3 linked regions of the Saccharomyces cerevisiae S288C genome follow. The gene in region 2 interacts genetically with the main gene of each other region. Each region holds a gene or a part of one and is shown on either strand. Other genes may lie near its edges. The genes, in order: EMI2, PMT5 and ARG80.

Region 1 (8,211 bases), 1.2 Mb from region 2:
ACTTAATATCCCCCGCTATAGCATGACCCACAAACGCTCTTTCCCAGGTTGTATCTTGGTCCGTCTCACATTTCATATAGAAATTAATCAACGACTGAATGAACTCTACACATTGTTCCAATGGTAATACAAGACTTTCTCCAAGTAAAAAGCAGTCTTTAAAGTCGCATACGAATTTCTTGTTTCTTAACGGTAACGCTTCAGCAACAATTAAATGATAACTTCTTATAATCGGCATCAAGGAATAAATGTTTTCTCTTGGATCATATATGGCGATGCCAATCTCTGTAACAATGTCTGTATCAAATTCAAATGCCTCTACATCGATGGCAAAACAAATTGTCTTGTTGGATGATAATAACTCAATAGTTTTACAGAGATACTTGAACTGAGACCCACCAGGTTCACAATTCATCACAGGTATATGTTCGTTTTTTACGTCCTGTACATCTGCTAAATATTGCTTTCTTAGATTTTTCTCCACATCGTCTTTAGATGCATCAGGTATACACCCGTTTTTCTCTATCCATTTCTTGTCAATTTCTTCCAGCTTCTTATCCAGTAATTCTGAACTTTTCTCATAGATGGACCGATAGTTTGTTTCCAATGCCTTTAAATATTTTTGGATTTCACTACTTAACGCAATGTTAGGGGTATATGCAATTTCGTGCAGAGAATTAAAATGTTCAAACTCATTTATCCATGTCTTTTGTCTTCCTAGTTTATTCATCAACTTGCTACTTGAACTCTTATACAGTCCCACGCCCCCTCTTCTTGAAGGGACCATACCCCTAACTCTAGCTGCATTGCGGGTTGCCAGACTCCTGTTTAAACCTTGTGGTTGATGGTAATTGCGGACTGCTTTGGAGTTGAATCTATGCGTAACCATTTTGACTACCGCTTCGTATGCTTTCTTGCACTTTGTGGAGCTACTCATACAATAGCTTATAATCTGTGTAGTCAAACTATATACTAGGCAAATTACTAGTAAATGCAGTATTCATATGTCCTCAAACCGTTTTTTGCAGTATGTTATTGATCCATCGAATCAAAATTTTTCACCGCCAAGAGAAAAAAGATCTTACTATTTTGTGCTTATGAAAAAATTAGTAAAAGTAAAGCTGGAAGCACATACAAGCGCAGCTGAATCACAAAGGAAAATTGGCACATCCTTGGTTGACACTTGTCTATTTATTAAAAGGTTTTAAAAAGTAGTGTTCAGCAGTTCTATCATATTTTTTTATTTAAAAAAAAATACTGAGAGGAAGCGTATTGTTAAGACACAATTTAGGGTGGCGTTAAATAAACGAGAGAGCCCAAAAATATAACCAAGATAAAGAAAATCAATCATAAAGTGAATTCAAAAATGTCATCGCAAAACCTCAATGATAATCCAAAAAATACATCCTCAGCAGCTGAAGATAAGAAGAAACAAACTTCATCCTTAAAGTTGGCACCAATACCAACCACATCGCCATGGAAATCATCTTCGCCAGATAGCAATACAGTAATTCCTGTAGAGGAACTAAGAGATATATCAAAGACTGCAAAGCCAAGTAAAAATGGTTCGGGGTCAATTAAATTAACAAGCAATACCAAATGGACTCCAATTACGCCGTCTGTTATAATCTCAGGTTCCAAGGACACAAATTCAAAGTCAGGAAAGAACTCTAAAAATTCTAAGACTAATAAAAAAATGAAAAAGCGTGGCAAATATAATAACGATATCAATAAAAAGGACTTTAACGGTCAAACCAACAGTACATCGGAAATAAGTAACGTTTCCAATCTTGAATCCAAACCTTTAGATGCTAACGCTAAAGTAAACATACATTCAAGCTCAGGAGCAACTGCCAATGGGAATATAAAGAGGATAACAAACAACAACAATTCAACCAACGGTAGACAATCAAGAAATTATCAAAACAGGAATGGCAAAACAAGATACAACAACAATAGTAGACACAGTCAGGCGGCTAATAATGCCATCTCCTTCCCAAATAATTATCAGGCTAGACCTGAATATATTCCCAATGCCAGCCACTGGTTGAACAACAATTCAAGAAATAGCTATAAACAACTGTCATACTTCCGTCAACAGCAGTATTATAATAACATCAACTATCAACAACAATTGCAAACACCATATTATTACTCAATGGAACCTATTTTTAAATCTATCGAAAGTATCAAAAACCAAATTGAATTCTATTTTAGTGAAGAGAACTTGAAAACAGATGAATTTTTAAGATCTAAATTCAAAAAAGCCAATGACGGATTTATCCCCATGAGTTTGATAGGGAAATTTTACCGTATGGTTAATTTATCTCTTGGTGGAGACCCAAATTTAATTTTGGCATCTATGAGAGAAGTTTTACAACATAAAGAAACAAACCATTTGGAAATTGCCCTTGGAAGCATAGAAGGTGCTCAGAAGAACATGGCAGATGATTTCAATCCATTGGAAAACTATTTTATTAGGCGCGAAAATTGGGCTGAATACGCTATGGAAAGTAATTTTGATGAAAATGATGACGAAACTGAAAAATACAACATTGAGAAACTATTGGGACCGAACGATTTAGACAATTATTCTTATATGGGCTATCCAAACTTCTTTCCCAGTAATGAAAATGGGAAAAAGAGTCAGAGCTATGACCAAGGTGAAATTAGCAGGCAGTTTGAACAAAACTTACAAATAAATGATTAATTTTAGACAATATTTTTTTTTTTTTTTTTATTATGTATATAGTTAACATGTATAAAGTAATAGCAGATTCTCTCTAAAAATATAACATAACATTTCATTTCAATTCGTACTAAATAATTTTTTATATAACAGATACATAAGATATTTATATAGAGGAAAACGAAAACAAACTAAAAATAAGCTGTTAAGAACAGATATGTTTTATGCCACCAGAGCACACAAAGCTGCGCCAACACCGGACCCATCTTTGGCTAGACGCAAATGTATCTTACGTTCACCCTCAGTGCCAATTGGACTTAATGCCAAAGCATGTCTCAGCATGGATCTGAATCCAGGATAGTATTCGATGACATAACCGTCAAAACCAATTTCTACCTCACCGTGATATCTTTTGTTCAAAGCGTTTGTCTTGATTAGGATGGCGGCAATCGGAACGGCTGCTAGATATGCAGACCTTCTCGTAATGGAACGGACCAGATTTTGAATTGCTTTACGTTCTTCAAAAGTGGTCGGTAGCCTCAAACTCTGCAAAAACGACAATTCAGTTTCACGCAAGTTTGTCGAATCATCGATTTCAATCCTGGAAAGAACTTCACTGCACAATTGGAAAGGAGTCTTTAAACGGTGAGGTAATTGATCGTAATTACGATACTGTCCCAAGATTAAGCCCCTTGCATGCAAGTCCACCAGGATGTTCCTTAACAGCTCACCCAAGTACATGCCGGAAATTCTTTTTTCAAATAGATGGTAACCTGGATTTGGAGAAAATTTTTGGTCAATATCGATGTCATACTTTGTAGCAGACAAATGTTTCAATTCATTGTCGAAAGAACCCCATTCGATGTTGATGCACATTTGGGTTTTTCCTTCATGCAGCAGTCTTGTTCTGAGCTCATCTGGTAGCTTCTTGATGTTTTCAATATCCTCCATATAGCAACCGTTAGTACCAGTACCAAAGATACAACCAATGACAGGCTCGCTAATCTCACCAGCACTCGATGGACGAGAGCCTGAAGTGTAGCAGTGGGATAGGAAAGTGCCAACCGTGTCGTTGGTCAAAGCTACCACATTAATCATAGAGAGCCCCTGAATGTCTAATTGCTCCTGGTATAACCTCACGACATCCTTGCCGACCGTGTCTTCAATCTTGAAGCTTTTGGTCCATCTGATTAAAGTACCGGAACTCAAAGAGGTTTGGTCAACGGGATATGAGAAGGTAAATCCCATTTTCAAAGGTTTTATGTTCTCCCCCGTGGACTTCAACAACTCAGGATGATGCTTCCTAACGAAGGCCCTTGTACGGCGACCCAGGTAGCTAAACAGCTCCTCGCTGGTGACATCCTTGTCATTTAGATATTCTTCCGGAATCTTAGACTTCAATTGCTGCATATCAAAGGTTCCGTCACCATTCAAAGTCACAGAACACACTCTGAAGTGAGTCCCACCTAAATCTGCAGCCAGCAAAACACCACGTTCCGTCCCATTGGGCAAACTGGTTACATATGTAGGGATCATGGGTAGACCCTTGTCCACCGTCTTTTCTTCGCCTACAGAGGTGTTATTCAACCCCTTTTCCATACATTCAATGAAGTACGCTGTTAGTTCGTCCAACTTTGCTGCATCAACCTGCAATGAGGAGCAGATCTCAACCACTGCATCTTCCAATGCCTCAGCATTGACTTTATGTAAATTTTCAAATGACATTACTGTGTATCTATGATTCGATTCTTGTACAATTCTTCCTTGATACACTGATATCTGTTTCTATTTAAACTTCCTATAAGTATGAGACGTACAAAAGAACACGAGACAAGATGAGATTTTACACTTACACAGAATCGACTTTATATAATCCCGAATACATGTTTCCCCCCCCTGCATCGCAAGCATAATAGAATTCGACGACCCGATCTTCTTCCTCTGTCTTCCACACACACAAACACTAATTCACTCTCACTCTCTCACTTTCCCTTTCGACGACACACACAAAAAGACTTTCTGGATGCCCCGCGTTTTTTGTCACTTGATTCTTCGAACAAAGACGCAGGCAACTACCCCTGAAGGGCCCACCCGAAAGTAGTTGCTACTGCTCGTTGCGGTGGCTGCCAGAGTGGCGACGTAGCGTTGCGTTGTGGCTAACATTGGTGAGACAACCCGATTAAATTACTTAATGGGCTCTCCCACCGCCTTTGCACCCAGTGACAGCCATTTTGAAGATAGCATCGGGCTGGCTTCCAAATAAAATCTAGGTCGTTTCTATTAAGTTCGTTTCGTTATTTTTCTGTCTTCGCGGCGGACACGCAAGCCGACGACGACGAGGTTTAGTTGCATTTTGGCTATCATAAAAGAAATGGGCTTGTCGCAACGGGATCAGGACCAAGAACAGGGGTGCTGAGACTACTACTGTAACTGCGACCGACACAGCGTGCGAAACTAGGGAAGTAAAAAGGTATAGGAAGAAGAACTATGTTTAGAATAGCTAAAAACCTCGTACGGACTTTTGAGCAGAGCGTGCAAGATACCCTGGCACTCTCGCAGGACTCGAGCAATCTGGACGCTTTCTTTCAGTCTATACCACCAAATTTGTTGTCTGCTCAGTTGGAATCACCCGTAGATGCGGTTTCTGAAGGTGTTAAGCACACCAACGTCAATGAAACGCTTTCCGGTCTCCGCATTGTTTGGGTGGACGAGATGCAGTTCCAACTGCAGTCCTTTTTCGACTATATAGTAGGTTTCAATGATGATCCGGTGCCGGTGGTCAGTAATCAACACGGATTTTCGTACCCAGATTACCGTCGTATCACATCCATCTTCAATGAACACTGTGGCCGAACTTTGAAGGTCAACATATGGTCAGCTAAAGGAGGCACGTTCAGAGACGAGTATATCAGCATTATATCGAAGGAGAGCGACGATTTGGACGATGTTTCTCTAAACCATGACGAGAGGAGGCCATCTAGTGGGGAAGCGCACCAGTTCCAAGCACTCGGGTTCAAAGTCCAATGGACGCCTTTGATAGCTTCCACTTTCACATACCATATCCTGAACGTGAACATCCCAGATGGACCCGCCCAATCGGCAGGGCTCATCCCAGATGAAGACTACATTATCGGCTGCCAAGATGGCCTGTTGGCCACGGGAGGGGAGACGCTTTTACAAGATATTGTTAGATCAAGAGCAAACTACGATCTGGTCCTTTATGTCTACAACAAAGTTTCTGACTGTGTGAGACCAATCACAGTTCATATAGGTCCCGACGGCAGGTTGGGTTGCAACGTTGGATACGGGTTTCTTCACAGGATTCCAACAGTAAAGCACTGTCCACAACAAGCACAGCAGCAGGGGCAAGATGACAACCCTGTTCCTGTTCCTGTTCCAGTAGAATCTGAGACGGCTTTTGTGCCATCAGCATTCACAGCACCACCGGTGCCAACAAAGAAGAAATCAAAAAATAAAAAGGGTACCCAGCCATTGGCAATGGATGACTATTTTAATGAAGGCAGAGATAAGTCATCTACCGCTGCGAAGTCAGCAGAATCTGACATCCTCGCCCCACCACCACAAAAACAGTCATCCTCTGATTAACTTTCCTGGTTAGTCTTTTGGTTTTGTTTCATAGCAAAATTAAATATATATATATAAGCTTGCTTTCCCTTCAAAACACGTAAACGATAGTTGGCAATGTACGAAAAGTACCGAGACTTTTTTTCAAAGGCACGCGTGTCCTTTTTTGTTAAGACAATAGATATTTTAGCATTCAGAAAGTTTCAATTTCCAAGACTTGACGTTTCAATTATATGGCAATCTCCCAACAAGCACCCGCTCATATAATACCATGCAAGTGACCACAAGATTTATATCTGCGATAGTCTCGTTTTGCCTGTTTGCTTCTTTCACGTTGGCTGAAAACAGCGCAAGAGCTACGCCGGGATCAGATTTACTCGTTCTAACAGAGAAGAAATTTAAATCATTCATCGAATCTCATCCGTTAGTCCTCGTCGAGTTTTTTGCTCCATGGTGTTTGCATTCTCAGATCTTACGCCCTCACTTAGAAGAGGCCGCCTCTATTTTAAAGGAGCATAACGTCCCAGTTGTTCAAATTGATTGTGAGGCTAACAGTATGGTTTGCCTGCAACAAACTATAAATACCTACCCAACCTTGAAAATCTTTAAAAATGGTCGTATTTTTGATGGTCAAGTCTATCGCGGTGTCAAGATCACCGATGAAATCACTCAGTACATGATTCAGCTATACGAGGCTTCTGTCATTTATTTAAATTCCGAAGATGAAATCCAACCATACTTGGAAAATGCAACTTTACCAGTAGTAATAAACAGAGGCTTGACAGGCTTGAATGAAACGTATCAAGAAGTCGCACTGGACCTTGCTGAGGATTACGTCTTTTTATCCCTTCTAGATTCAGAAGATAAGTCATTATCAATCCACTTGCCAAACACTACAGAACCAATTCTGTTTGATGGAAATGTAGACTCTTTGGTCGGAAATTCCGTTGCTCTAACTCAGTGGTTAAAAGTGGTAATTTTACCTTACTTTACCGACATCGAACCTGATCTCTTCCCCAAGTACATTTCTAGCAATTTGCCGTTGGCTTACTTCTTTTATACTTCTGAGGAAGAATTGGAAGATTACACTGATCTTTTCACGCAGTTAGGTAAGGAAAATCGTGGCCAAATAAATTTCATTGCATTAAACTCTACAATGTTCCCACACCACGTTAGATTCCTAAATATGAGAGAACAGTTCCCATTATTTGCTATCCATAATATGATCAATAATCTGAAATATGGTTTACCACAACTACCAGAAGAAGAGTACGCGAAATTAGAAAAACCACAACCACTAGACAGAGATATGATCGTTCAGTTGGTAAAAGATTACCGTGAAGGTACTGCCAAGCCAATTGTTAAGTCAGAAGAGATTCCAAAAGAACAAAAGTCCAATGTTTATAAAATAGTTGGGAAGACACATGACGACATTGTTCATGATGATGACAAGGATGTCCTTGTCAAATATTACGCGACATGGTGTATTCATAGTAAAAGGTTTGCGCCTATTTACGAAGAAATTGCAAATGTCTTAGCATCTGATGAATCTGTTCGCGATAAAATCTTGATCGCCGAAGTAGATTCAGGGGCAAATGATATCTTAAGTTTTCCTGTGACAGGATATCCAACCATTGCTTTGTATCCTGCCGGAAATAACTCTAAGCCTATTATCTTCAATAAAATTAGAAATTTGGAAGATGTTTTCGAATTTATCAAGGAATCAGGTACACATCACATTGACGGCCAGGCAATTTATGATAAATTGCACCAGGCCAAGGATTCTGAAGTGTCTACTGAAGATACCGTACATGATGAATTATAATCAATAAATAAAGCATATATAATGCACATTTTTAACATCTGATTACTCGCATCGTTTCTGGAAGAAAATAGCTAATATTCGTTATTTATGGCATCACGATTATTCTCACCAG
Region 2 (6,067 bases):
CATTTTCATTCCAAAAATCAATACCACGCAACATAAGAGGCCAAGTCTTTGGTTCAGATGAGTAGGCATGACTAGTATCCATATAATTGTTAAGGTAGAACATGAACTTGTGGATAGCAACAAACTTCTGCCAAAAGCTCATTTTCTTATAAGAAACCTTCTCTGGATTTGGCAAAGAAATTTCGTTTTCGTTTTCTTCAATATACCATGAAGTTAAGTCTTCCCTTGCAAAGTATGCACACGTAACTTCCTGCTGCCCGAATCCCCACTCAGGTAGCTTTTCAGGATGTGAAAATAAGTAACAACCAGTTAGATAATGCTTCAGCCTAAATTTGGTTTCAATAGCCCTAATATGTTCCTGGGCAGGTCCCGGCTCTGATCTCTTTTTATCGATTTCAATTATCCAATCATCATTTATATCACCTTCGAAGCCCTCGTATCCATAACATGACACCTCTTTTTGCCAATCCGCATTTTGAGAAACTGGAGGTTTGTGGTCATGTGAGTGTAACCTGCAGCCGTTCTTAAGCTGTCTTAATTTAATTATGGTACCGTCGGTTAAATTTTGGAAACTTGTGACATTTTCATTTGGATGTTCAGCCAGCTCAATAATCCATTTGTTATTTTGGTCGATGTGAGGATACAAAGTAACTTGTTGTTGCATGGAACCAGCCGGATAATTGTGAAGATGAGAATGCAAGTAACCACCTGCCGTTCCAACATGATTCAGTGAAACAGCGGAACCCACTGCAACTTCTGCCACAGTCTCTTTAATAACGTTGTTGTATTTTAAAGTTTTTCTAAACTCAGCGGGAAAAAAGCTACTACTAATACCATTCACGTTTAATGTCTTAATATGCACGCTGAAAATGAGAAAATAGATGAAGGCAGGAATAGCTAATAGACAGGTAAACTGGAACGCCATATATTTGATAGAAGAACCAATGGGTCTTGACAAATCACCAATCATGAACCATACTCTCCAAAGGACAATAATACCAGCCCATGCGATGGTGAAGAGGCCAGCCCATTTTGAAGAAACTGCAAATCCCAATGCAATGCTCGCAGCAAGTAATGACTTGTTTGCTTTACATGAATTTGGCAAATAAAGTTCCGATCTTCTAAAGAAATAAACTGCACATGCCATGAAAAAAACAAAGGGTCCCTCTATCAAGGTGAAACGAGACAACGTTACAAAGGAGTTTTCAATTGCAAAACATACTGCACAAATGGCAGCTACCGCAATTTTCACGCCAGAAACTCGTAACGTTAAGTATAATACCAAAACGGACACGATGCCCAAAGTAGCAGAAAAGAACCTCATCGCGACGTATGGAACGTTTGCCGTGTATTCAGTACCAATGTTCCCATAATTGAAAAGCCCTTTATAACCAAAAACAGAGGACACGGTTGCATATAGCATTGCCACTAAAGGAGGATGAACATCGGTGAAGAATATGTTGTTCACGTATTGAGAAACAAATGTACCAACTTCATTTTCACCAAAAACAACACTATTTGGCAGGGAGATATTGTGTAGCCTTACGATGGCAGTAAATATCAGCAAACAGCCAACTAGAAGCTTTTCCTTAGATGAAGTAACTGTTCGTAATGAACTCAAATTATCACAGGGTTTTGTTATGAGAAAAGACCTCAAAGGGCCGCGTTTAATAGTCACATCGGGGATGGGATCCACCTTCAGCAAATGCTCTTTATTCATCTTTAAAGCAGTTATGATCTTACACACCTGCTTAATTGTTAAATCAATAAGAATATTTTCGAAAAAGAAGAAAAGAAACGGGTCTATGCATAATATGTACTACGCTTCTGTTCCTTTTCTATTGTTCTCGAATGCCTATTCGATAGACTTTTCGCGGCACGTAAACGAGTTCTTGGAAAAAAAACGGTGCGAAATGATAATACCACTGAAACTACTTGCAGATCATACTTATTTGAGCGAAATAGAATACGTGTCTCTAAACGCAGATGGACAATATAGTCAGCTTCAAGACATTTTTTTTATTCATGATGTTTTTTTTGTCTATTTTCGTTTTTAATTATACGCTCGAGAGCTTATAGAAGACTTTACATAAAAATGTGGAGAGTACTGGGAAATTTATTCCAAAACAGCCCTTTTTTCTACTTTTAAAATGTTAGCTCCCTCCTCTTCCAACATTTTTTTGACAACTTCTGGATCTAGTTCATTACCTTCTGTGTCTTTAAAGATTTTCTTGCCATCCTCGTTCATGAGATCTTCATACGACGGACCGTCCCCTTCTATAGTGATTTCTTCAACTGTACTAGTGGCGGCAGGTTGAGATTCACGTTTAGTCAAGGTTTGGTTTTTGTACTCTTCTAATGAAGAAAAGTATGTGTTACAATTGTAGTCCCAACCAGACAACCACTGCGATTTTTGACACAATTCTTGAGTCCATGGTGTACCGTAAATAATTGGACTGAAGCTCTTGAAGAAATACACAGAAGCAGCAAGGAAAGTGATCACTACCGCGTAGCCCATTTGTCTCTTGCTGCGGAAAACATAAGAAACTATTATGTCCAAGGCGTGGCCAAGGGCAAGAATACCGAAATAATAAGCAGGTAAGTAGTGATGCAAAAACATTTGACGTTGCATTAAGAAAGATGGAGCATAATGGACGGCAAAACCCAATAAGTAGTGAATAACCTGAACGTGGAAGTTAACAACCTTGGAGTCCTTCAAAATTGGTTTACCTAACTGCCACGAGAACAGCTCAGTGATAACAATCAATCCGAAAATACCGATGAAAGCGGTGACAGCCCACCATACGATCGCATTACCTAATAGATAGACGTTTCTGTTATTTTCACCCCAGTAACTTATACCACGTAGCAAGAATGGCCATGAAGTTGGTTGTGATTCATAAACATGAGGTTCGACCAAATTTTTATTGATATGCCACATCTTTTTATGGGATTCAATAAATTTAGAAATGAAGCTTGCAGGTTTATAGGAAATACGCTTGGTATCTTCTGGTAACAATGGGTTACTGTTGTTCTCAACGTACCACAATGTTAAATCATGTCTACCGGAGGAGGCACAGGTAACTTCTTGTTGTTCGAACCCCCAAGCTGGCAACTTGACTTCGTGGGAAAACAAATAACAGCCTGTCATAGCATGTCTCAATCTAAACTTTGTGTCCAAAGCTATGACCCGTTCTTGGGCAACTCCAGGAGCAGAATTCTTTTTATCAATCTCAACAACCCAGTCATCATTAGCATCACCGTCGAATCCGCTGTAACCATAACAAGAAACCTCCTTCTGCCAGTCGCTGCTTTCTGAAACGGGTGGCTTATGGTCATGAGAGTGTAATCTACATCTTGTAACAGTGTGGAATAGTCTGACCTTGGTACCATCGGTTAGGTTTTGGAATGTTGTTAAAGATTCGCCGGGTGCGTTGTAAAGTTCCAACAACCAATCGTTATTGGCATCCATGTGAGGATATAAAGTGCTTTGTTGTTGTTCCGAACCAGCTGGATAATTGTGTGAATGAGAATGCAAATAACCGCCCATGGTAGAGAGATGACGCAAGCTGATAATGGAGCCAATGCCGACATCAGCAACGACATTTTGGGGGATCTTATTGTTCTTTAGTGTAGATCTAAATTCAGGCGAAAAGAAGCTTGCGCCATCCCCGTCCAAAGTTAATGATTGGAAGTGGATATAAAAGAAGACCAGATAAAGGGCAAAAGGCACACCCAACAAGAAGGCCAATTTGGCAAATGCTACTTTGAAGATGGACTTGGAAGACTTAGTCAAATCCCCAATCATGAACCATAGTCTCCAGATACATAAAAGACCCACCCATGTAACCGTGAAAAGACCAACCCATTTGGATGAAGATGCCATACCAAGAGCAATACCAGTAGCAAGCAAGGACTTGTAAGCATTGAGCGAGTTGGCAGGGTACATTTCGTATTTCTTGAAAGAGTAGACTGCAGCTGCAATGAAAAACATCAATGGGGCGTCCAACAGAATGTAACGAGAAATAGTGACGTACGAGTTTTCAACGGCAAAGCAGATAGCGCTCATCAAAGCAACCCACATACGAACACCAGAATAACGTAAAGTCATGTACATCAAAATAACAGTAAGAGCCCCCAAAGAAGCAGAGAAAAATCTCATCAACACGTATGGCGTCGTAGATGGAAAGCTGTCACCAATATTTTCGAAGTCAAAATCACCCTGGAACCCACCAAGCGATGCCACACCAGCATACAACATCTTTGCAAGAGGAGGATGCACATCCATGAAGTAAGTCCCCCTAATGTATTGCGAGGCAAACCCACCGAAATGTACTTCATCAAACACCACGCTGTCAGGCCATGCCAAGCCATGCAATCTAATGACCGCTGTAAAGACAGCAAGACAGGCCACTAACAGCTTCTCTTTAAGAGTGACCATGGTTCGTAACGAGGCCAATTCGGCACTCGGATCGGTAACAATAAAGGGTCTTACGGGGCCCTGCTTGATATCCAGTTCGGGCACGGGATCATCCTGCTCTACACGTTTGTACGTTTTCTCTTCCGACATGACCGTGCTTGTAGCTGTTAGCTGTTTCTTGATAGGCTCTTCTGATACTACCTCGCTTTAACAATGCACCTGTTTGTCTTGTTTTGCTGCTCGAAAATAATCAAGATCTGCTTAGAAACGCCAAACTCTTCTTCGACACGTGTCGAGAAAAAAAACGCAGCGAAAAAAAAAAAAAAGGTATATCATCACAATATACGATATAAATGGGCAGGGCAACCCCGAATGATGTATATTCTCTTCTGGTTCCAAGGGTGGCAAATGTTGGTAGAAAGCGTAATTGAAGCAAAGATCCGTTAAATAAGGCCAACTAACAGAAGCGCTGAAAGAGGACAATTGGTGATTAATCTATAAACGAGGAACTTCATGTCTCTGCCAGGTTCGAAATTAGAAGAGGCCAGGAGACTGGTTAATGAAAAACAGTATAATGAGGCAGAACAAGTCTATTTGAGCCTGCTGGATAAAGACAGCTCACAGAGCAGCGCCGCTGCCGGTGCCAGTGTGGATGACAAGCGTAGAAATGAACAGGAGACAAGCATATTGGAATTAGGACAGTTATACGTGACTATGGGTGCAAAGGACAAATTGCGCGAGTTTATTCCTCATTCTACGGAGTATATGATGCAATTTGCCAAATCCAAAACGGTAAAGGTATTGAAAACGTTGATTGAAAAATTCGAGCAAGTGCCGGACTCCTTGGACGATCAGATCTTTGTGTGCGAGAAAAGCATCGAATTTGCCAAGAGAGAAAAAAGGGTGTTTTTGAAGCATTCACTCTCGATCAAATTGGCCACCTTACATTATCAAAAGAAACAGTACAAGGACTCATTAGCATTGATTAACGATCTTTTGAGGGAGTTCAAAAAGCTGGACGACAAGCCCTCTTTGGTTGATGTACATCTATTGGAAAGTAAAGTTTACCATAAACTGAGGAATCTAGCCAAGTCCAAGGCCTCGTTGACTGCAGCAAGGACGGCCGCTAACTCCATATACTGTCCTACACAAACAGTTGCGGAGCTGGACTTGATGAGTGGTATCCTGCACTGTGAAGATAAAGACTACAAAACTGCATTTTCGTATTTCTTCGAAAGTTTTGAAAGCTACCACAATTTGACTACGCATAATTCCTACGAAAAGGCATGTCAAGTGTTGAAATACATGCTATTGTCTAAGATCATGCTGAACCTTATTGATGACGTAAAAAACATCCTAAACGCAAAATACACAAAGGAAACGTACCAGTCCCGAGGCATTGATGCCATGAAAGCTGTCGCTGAGGCTTATAACAACAGATCGCTTTTAGACTTCAACACGGCGCTAAAGCAATACGAGAAGGAACTAATGGGCGATGAACTAACAAGATCCCATTTCAATGCATTATACGACACGTTATTAGAGTCCAATTTGTGTAAGATTATTGAGCCATTTGAATGTGTGGAAATATCCCACATTTCCAAAATAATCGGTCTGGATACTCAACAAGTTGAAGGAAAGCTCTCC
Region 3 (7,399 bases), on a different chromosome or scaffold from region 2:
TCAAATGCAAGCTGTTATCGGTAGTGGATGGTATCGTTTCCGTTACGGGCAGTGGAGAGTCGAAAGATAGTGGAGGAAGCCCCAAATTCAGTGAAGTTTCTTGATTTTGAATGTCATTGAGATCCGCACTATCTAAGACAGTGTTTTTGATATCTAGAGAATACGGGATAACATCGTTGTTAATATTATTTGGGTTATTATTCTCCACGTATTGTATACTACTCATGCTTTCTATGGGGAATAAAATATCTTCGCTATTGAAATCATGGTCGACCGTCATTTTAGATCTAGTTCTTCTATGAGCAATAAAAGTTGAAAAAAGAAAGAAAAAATAAAGCAAATAAAACCAAAGAAAAAAAGGTAGCCTCTTGGCGTATGAAATACCTTGCTACTACTGTTGTGATCTTCCCGAAAAATATGAGGAAGATACCGATAAAGTAAGGAAGAAAAAAGCAATATCTTTTTTTTTTTGAACTTTTCGTATTACAGACTAGTTTCTGTTATCTCCAAGGTTTCCGTCTGTTTTATTTTCGTGTAACACAGTTTCTAACTGGGAAGTCTTGTTGAGCTCGTGCTGCTTTCTTACTATTACCAAACAGGAAGGCAAAAAAAGGGAACACGGTTTACGCGATAAAAGTAAAAGGGCCAAGTCTGACTGGTGCTGATATCAGGCAACAAACACCACTTTGTTCTGCTATTTGTCTTTATTACCTGTCTCTTTCGCTGGAAACAACAAATATAAATAAGTAAGTGTCAATACTATATGTTGTCTGTAGAGGGGAAATTGTATATATTTTCGGTGTCTTGTTTTTCTTTTCCGCAGTTTGTTTTTCCCATTCTGATTTTCTGAAATTCGTAAAAAGGTGTTTTTTTCGTATAAATGGCTCTCTTTAATTTATTAGAGACAAAAAGAGCCGATATGTATGACGTAGACAGATGGTGTCAAGAACCGGCTTGGCTGCTACGGAATGCGTAGCTGAACGCCGTGGTTTCCGGAGAAAGACGAAAGATCAACTCCGGCCGTCTGGCCAGGAACGATAGGTGCTGGAGATAAGTGAGGTACGGATACCAAGAGCGAAATACCTCTTTAGGTACGTTCCGGGCCGTTGTTGCCGGCGAAACCGGAGGGACAAGGCAATATGAAGTAGGATTGGAAACCGGCTTTGGCATATTGCCACATGCGTATGTACATGTCCGGCATCACGTGGTTATGATGTAGTATACTATATTATGTTATATCTGTATTACGCTACGTTGTGCTATCTTGGATGTTCTATTTGATGTTGTTGGCCAAGGCATCTTTTCTCTCTTCCCAAACAGTCTTTCCGGTACACGCACACACTTGTTTATTATTTTCCCACACACCAGCGCTTCTCGCAATGACTCCCAGAAATGAGTAGTCCTTAACGGAGGAAGGCTCGTTTTCTGGGTGGTTCAGAGACTTGGAAATGACAAAGCTGCGGCCGATAAGTTGCCATGTTGGCAAGGGAGCGCTCAGAAAGGTCTTCCCACTGTACAAGTTCTTGCCCAAATCACTCTCGTTGAAGCATTCAATGGGTTCGTCGAACTTGTGCCAAACTTTACCAGTAGATTCCACGCCCTTGGAGACGTCGCCTTTCTCGTGAATGCTGGCGTGGTAATTTCCCGCCTCTGGGACGCCATTTACAGTGATGTCAAAAAGAGTCTTATTCTCTCCAACCTGAACGATTCTTGCTAGGCCCCTCACGGCGGTGTCCTTTTTCTGGTCTATAGTATATTTTTGAAAGGTCTCTAAGATAGCGACCGCGGAAGAATTCGGCTTCCCGGCGCCTCTTATGATGGCGTCTTTACCACAGTTTCGCAAGGTGTTGATGATGGTTGAAGGGGCTACTGAGCTTTCCACGCTCATTATTTGTTGCTCTATATCGAAATTCAATGAATTGATTCCTGGGACATTTTTTAGGCATGCCTTTATATCATTCACGCAATTTTCACAGTGCATGGGAATGGCATAAGTAGCCTCGTATGTATCGTTCGTGGTCATTTTTGTGCTGATCGAATGGGTTTCTGCCTTGCAAAGATATCTTTATTCTTTTCTTAGTCTAAATTTTTTTTTTTTGGCTTGCCTTTAATATATTATTTTTCCGAACAATGAATTTTTACCCTCTTCCATTCTCACTGTGTACTAGTTGTACGGGGAAAATGCTTAGTAAGCGCAAATTTTTTTTTGATAGTATATTATACTGAAATGTACAAGATTAACTTTTGTCTGGTTATTATAAATCACATATTTGATTATATGAATTGTTAAAATGAATTTGACAAACAGAAAAGTATATATTTTTATTTCTTTTTTTTTTTTTTTATTCTCTAATAAGCTCGTTGGATGGAAGACGTTGACATAAGCAAGCTCAACTTCCAGGACTATTATTCTTCTTCACTTATGTCGTCTTCAGCCTTGTTCATTTCAGCTTCCAAGCTTTGAGCAAATTCTTCGTCACTAGAATTTGCATCTTTTGACTCGTTTATGTTGGAGACAATATCTTCTTTTTTAGCTTGAAGTGTGGGTACAGGTTCAGGTTCAGGTTCAGCTATCTTTTCTTTTGCCTTTGCCTCTTTCTCTTGTTCTGCAACTGCTTTTGCCTTTGCCTCCTCTGCCTCTTCTTTTTCCTTTTGCTTGCGTTCCTCTTGTTGTTTCCTACCTGCCTGGCCTGGGATGATCAAAGTAGCATTGGCTTCTCTTTCAGCGTTTTGAATGTTTTCCTCGTGTGGAAGTAGAGTAGGTGGAGCAGGTTTCTTCTTCTTTGAACGTGGCTCCAAGTCATGACTCTCATTAGATGCTTTGGACTTATCTTCTCTCCTCTTCTTTGGGCTGTTCTTGTCCTTCCCGTTTTTATCCTTGTCGTTATTAGTACTGTCATTATTGTTATCATCTTCATATTCGTCGTCGGACAATAGTCTAACCATTTTGGTTTTTGGTCTCTTGGATCCTAGCCTTCTCAAGGCTTCATCAATATTCAATCTGTGCTTAAGCAATTCGTCGTATAGATCTTCTGTCAACGAAATACCTTTCTTCCCAGGTTTCATTTCGCCTGTAGATGAGTCCAGATAGTACTCACGGATATCAATTAAATTTATGTTTCTAAATTGTCTTACCGTGACCCTCTTATTTTTACCCAGATCAAAAATTGCATCTGATGCGGATAGTCCAGATGGCATACCACCATTGTTATTGTTACTGTTACTTAAGTTTCCTCCACCATTATCGCTTCTTCTTTTGTTCCTATACCTGTTGTAATATGACATAGCGCTTGTGTTTGTATATATGTCGAAAAATTGATGTGTACGGAAAGATTTAATATTAAATAGCTTTCTTAAGTGGGCAACCAAAAGTGTTTCTTTGATTGGGGACTTTTACAAAATTCACGTTTACAACCTCTTCTCTTGTCTTCCTATCGTTCCCTGGATCAAATTAAGAATTTTCATCAAGAATAGAGAGCAGAAGGCAAGCCAAGAGAGAAAAAGAAAGAGAGAAAGAAAGAAAGGAGAGGAAGAGGAGATGAAAAGAGAGGAAAACTTGAGTTTTGATAAAGAAATTTGAGGAAGGTAAAAGTAAAATTCCCATTCAAATGAATGTATTAATAAATTCTCATCATTAAAAGGAGGGAAAAATTACGTATAACGTAAAGATAAAACGTGTGTGTGTGCAGTGCTATACTCATTGTCCTTGTTAGTGATGATAATTCGTCCCAGCTGAAAAAACTCAAAATAAGTATTACCCGGATCGAGGCTGTGGCATTTAGCGCCGCTGTCTTGACCATCCACCAATGGTTGATAATAACATCGGATGATCAGCCCATTTTTGGTGTATTACTATCCCATCTCATTCTTCCAAAAAACACGTATATATCATTGACGAGATCGAGATACGTCTGCTGTGTTTAACGGCTAACTTGGTTGTGTAGGCTTGTGTCAATTAGGCAAAATGGTTTTCTTGGAAAAAAGACAAGGGAAAAAAAAGGGTTGATAGAGCAATATATGTACAGCTGGCCTTCTCTGAGAAAAGCTAGCCGCCTGGAAGTAAATAAATACGCTGAGTGTTCGTTGGAGCATGAATTATGTGAATAGAAAAATACTAAGCAAAATTTCAAAGTCGAGTTAGTGATGGGTGTTTATTTGGCAGTACTCTTTTCGTTACTGGTCATCGAAATGGCCATTCTGTTTATTTTGGTACTTCCGCTTCCACAGCGTATGAGAAGGTGGCTGTATATACGCTACAGTATCATAAGTACTAATAAGAAATTCAGAACTTATATGGTTGGAATCATGATCTTCGTTGGTCTTTTGTTCATCGATTCATGGAAAAGGTCACAGATCAGAGTGTCTACGTACCGCAACCAGAAAAATCCCTATATAATAAATAGTGTAACCCCAGTGGATGCACTGGCTTCAAGGGCATATAACCAAAGGAATGTTTACATTTCAGGCTTCATCATCTACTTTTATATATGTATACTCACCGTGATGAGTATATTGCGAAGAATAGTGGAATGGAATGACAAAATGAAGGCTGGAGATGACATTCTGAAGGAAAAGTTAAGACGAAAGCAAAAATATTTAGAGGAATTGCAGAAGAAGAAATTTTAAAAGGAAAAAACTAAAAAAGAAGAAAAGGAAAAACTTACATATGTAAATAGAACAAATGAATATAAACTAAAATTTGACAAATTTTTTTTCTTTTTGGGGTGATTATATCATTTCTGGATGAGGAATACCTGAAGACCACTCTTCATTAAAATGTTCTTTAAAAATATTCTTTTGGATATATTCTACTAGTTGTCCGTCCTTAGAAGATAATCTGTTGCCATTCGATTTCACAATTTCGTAATTATCCAGAGCAAGTTTCAATTCTTCCATGCTACTGACTCCAAGAACAACGGGTCCCTTTCCTACCCATTCCGAAATCGCGTATCTTGTGGCCAAATCGGCTAAGTCGACATTTTGTTCTTGACAGTATTTGGCAGCCTGAGATGCGCATTCTCTCAATTCATGAGAACACGGGTGAAACTGTCTTGTCTCCTGTGACCTTAGTAGCGACATGCTCAAGATTGATGCGTTGCAAACCATTTTCAGTTTAGCATTGCGTAGCAGTCTTTCTCGAAAGTTCAATAGCTTATTGTTTTGTAAGTTCAAGTTACAATAGGACAATACTGCATCCAATGACCCAATATCACTTTCCTCGGTAGAGCAGTACTCAGCAAGCCAGGTGATAAAGTCGATTGGGTAGCCTGATATGCCAAAATTTTTGATAACTCCTTTGTTCTTCAAGGTCCTCAATTCCTTTAATGCCTCTAAGATGTCTGGAAATTTGACAAACTCGACATCGTGCAAGTACACCAAATCGAGATATGTAGTGTGTAATCTTTCGCACGATCTGTGAACACTAAATCTCACGAAATCTCTAGAATAGTTAAACTCTTCCGCACCAATACGCCCAACCTTTGTGCATATAAAATAAGTGTCTCTGGGAAATTCATTCCTTAAATTGGACAGTGCCCTACCATAAAGAACCTCACTAGGGCCATAGTAGGGAGAAGTGTCAATTGCATTGATACCATGCGAAAATGCGTATTTGATTATGTCTTCCAGTGGAATGGATTCTGGCTCATCTGTATATTGCTGGTTCAGTATTGCACCTCCTAAGACTAAAGGAGAAACCGAAGCTAAGTCGAATGGATTCACTTTTTCATTAACCATCTTATAGTCTCCGTTGTTACTCTTTTATTTATGTGTACTCTTCCTTCCTGTTAACAGAGTAGATAAATATAGGCTTTAAACTTACCGTGTACTGAAACCCAGAAGGCAGCTTTCTTTTTTCCAGAAAGTAAAATAATGACAAAAAAATCGACTACATATGCACAATGCTAAGTTATATGACACTTTCTTTCTTATCCTCACTTATCCATAAGACACCCCTCTTCTTCAGAGAATTTGGTAAGCAATTTCATGTATTTCCATGAGAATGGGCTCGCATCCCAGAGCGCAACTAATATATGAATATAAGCGGATTTAGCTCAGTTGGGAGAGCGCCAGACTGAAGAAATACTTCGGTCAAGTTATCTGGAGGTCCTGTGTTCGATCCACAGAATTCGCATTAATTTTTTTTTACTTTTCATTCGTTTTCCTCTTTTGGTGATGAGCAGCATCACAGAAGCGGGTGGGTCATCCATTATTAGACGGTAAGTGAAAAAAATTTGATGATTCAGGTGAACCGCTATGGAAAGGCACGTAGTTCTACTTACTCCTAGCAAGTAGCTATGCGATTTTCCTGCGCCATTTTTTTTCCCACATTAGTTACATACACTCTCTAAAGAATATTGCTAAATATGACGTCGAATAGCGACGGTTCAAGTACCAGTCCAGTTGAGAAACCAATTACCGGCGATGTTGAAACTAATGAACCTACCAAACCAATACGGCGGCTTTCAACGCCATCGCCAGAACAAGATCAAGAAGGCGATTTCGACGAAGAAGACGATGATGACAAATTCAGCGTGAGCACATCAACTCCCACCCCAACCATAACGAAAACTAAGGACAGCAGCGACACAAGTACGGTTACGAGGCGGAAGCAGCCGATCAGGTACATCGAGAATAAGACCCGGAGACATGTCACCTTCTCGAAGAGGCGGCACGGGATCATGAAAAAAGCATATGAGCTCTCCGTCCTAACCGGCGCCAATATTCTGCTTCTAATTCTGGCAAACTCTGGCCTGGTCTACACTTTCACAACGCCTAAGCTCGAGCCGGTGGTACGGGAAGACGAGGGTAAGAGCCTCATCAGGGCATGCATCAATGCTTCAGACACTCCTGACGCTACCGACACGTCGCCGGCACAGGAACAATCTCCGGCAAACTGAACATGCGAGAGTAAGAGATGCCCCACGAAGGCATAGGCAGATCCATATAGCACAATACGCGCATATAAAGTAGCATTGCTGCCAAAGGGGGTTGCACAAGGAGTTGCCCTCCTTCGGCACGCGGCTCGGAACATACCGGAGTGTCCCCCTTTGAGTAATTTTTCTCAAAAGAGGCACTTTTGCGCTGGGCCGCAGGAAATTTCCCTTTCTGTTCAGCACCTGTTGTCCTATATTAAGCTGTGCCAAACAAGGTCATCTCCAAATACTTACCAAAAAGCTAGGGCGTACTGTACTGGAATCTCTGCTTTTTTCTTTACCTTACTTCAATTTGCCTTGTCTGCTTTTTTACGTGTGTTTTGGCGTTTCTGCTTTTCTTTTTTATTACTCGTTGTTGTAAATCATTTTCTAAGTATTATACATACTATATCATCGCATACCCAATCGGTTTCCTATTCTCACCACTTTTTTCTGGAAAAATACATAGCCTAACAAGCAATTTT

Evidence for each region.
Region 1: mutations in PMT5 (region 2) and EMI2 together harm fitness more than expected from each alone (negative genetic interaction), as found in Saccharomyces cerevisiae (one large-scale study listed by BioGRID).
Region 3: mutations in PMT5 (region 2) and ARG80 together harm fitness more than expected from each alone (negative genetic interaction), as found in Saccharomyces cerevisiae (one large-scale study listed by BioGRID).

Annotation. Positions count from the first base shown.
Region 1 is NC_001136.10:1,472,063-1,480,273, forward strand, and holds EMI2 (putative glucokinase), read right to left. Parts: upstream 4,415-8,211; coding exon 2,912-4,414; downstream 1-2,911. Other genes in the region: YDR514C (uncharacterized protein), read right to left, coding at 1-937; SLF1 (Slf1p), read left to right, coding at 1,367-2,710; GRH1 (Grh1p), read left to right, coding at 5,177-6,295; protein disulfide isomerase EUG1, read left to right, coding at 6,546-8,099. UniProt on the Saccharomyces cerevisiae protein: Putative glucokinase involved in phosphorylation of aldohexoses and glucose uptake. Involved in sporulation. Required for the full activation of the early meiotic inducer IME1.
Region 2 is NC_001136.10:285,562-291,628, reverse strand, and holds the start of PMT5 (putative dolichyl-phosphate-mannose-protein mannosyltransferase PMT5), read right to left. Parts: upstream 1,721-6,067; coding exon 1-1,720. Other genes in the region: dolichyl-phosphate-mannose-protein mannosyltransferase PMT1, read right to left, coding at 2,117-4,570; proteasome regulatory particle lid subunit RPN6, read left to right, coding at 4,934-6,067. UniProt on the Saccharomyces cerevisiae protein: Protein O-mannosyltransferase involved in O-glycosylation which is essential for cell wall rigidity. Forms a heterodimeric complex with PMT3 and more rarely with PMT2 to transfer mannose from Dol-P-mannose to Ser or Thr residues on proteins.
Region 3 is NC_001145.3:346,238-353,636, forward strand, and holds ARG80 (Arg80p), read left to right. Parts: upstream 1-6,365; coding exon 6,366-6,899; downstream 6,900-7,399. Other genes in the region: stress-responsive transcriptional activator MSN2, read right to left, coding at 1-280; copper chaperone CCS1, read right to left, coding at 1,274-2,023; chromatin-binding transcription coactivator SUB1, read right to left, coding at 2,407-3,285; YET2 (Yet2p), read left to right, coding at 4,144-4,626; D-arabinose 1-dehydrogenase (NAD(P)(+)) ARA2, read right to left, coding at 4,729-5,736. UniProt on the Saccharomyces cerevisiae protein: With ARG81, ARG82 and MCM1, coordinates the expression of arginine anabolic and catabolic genes in response to arginine.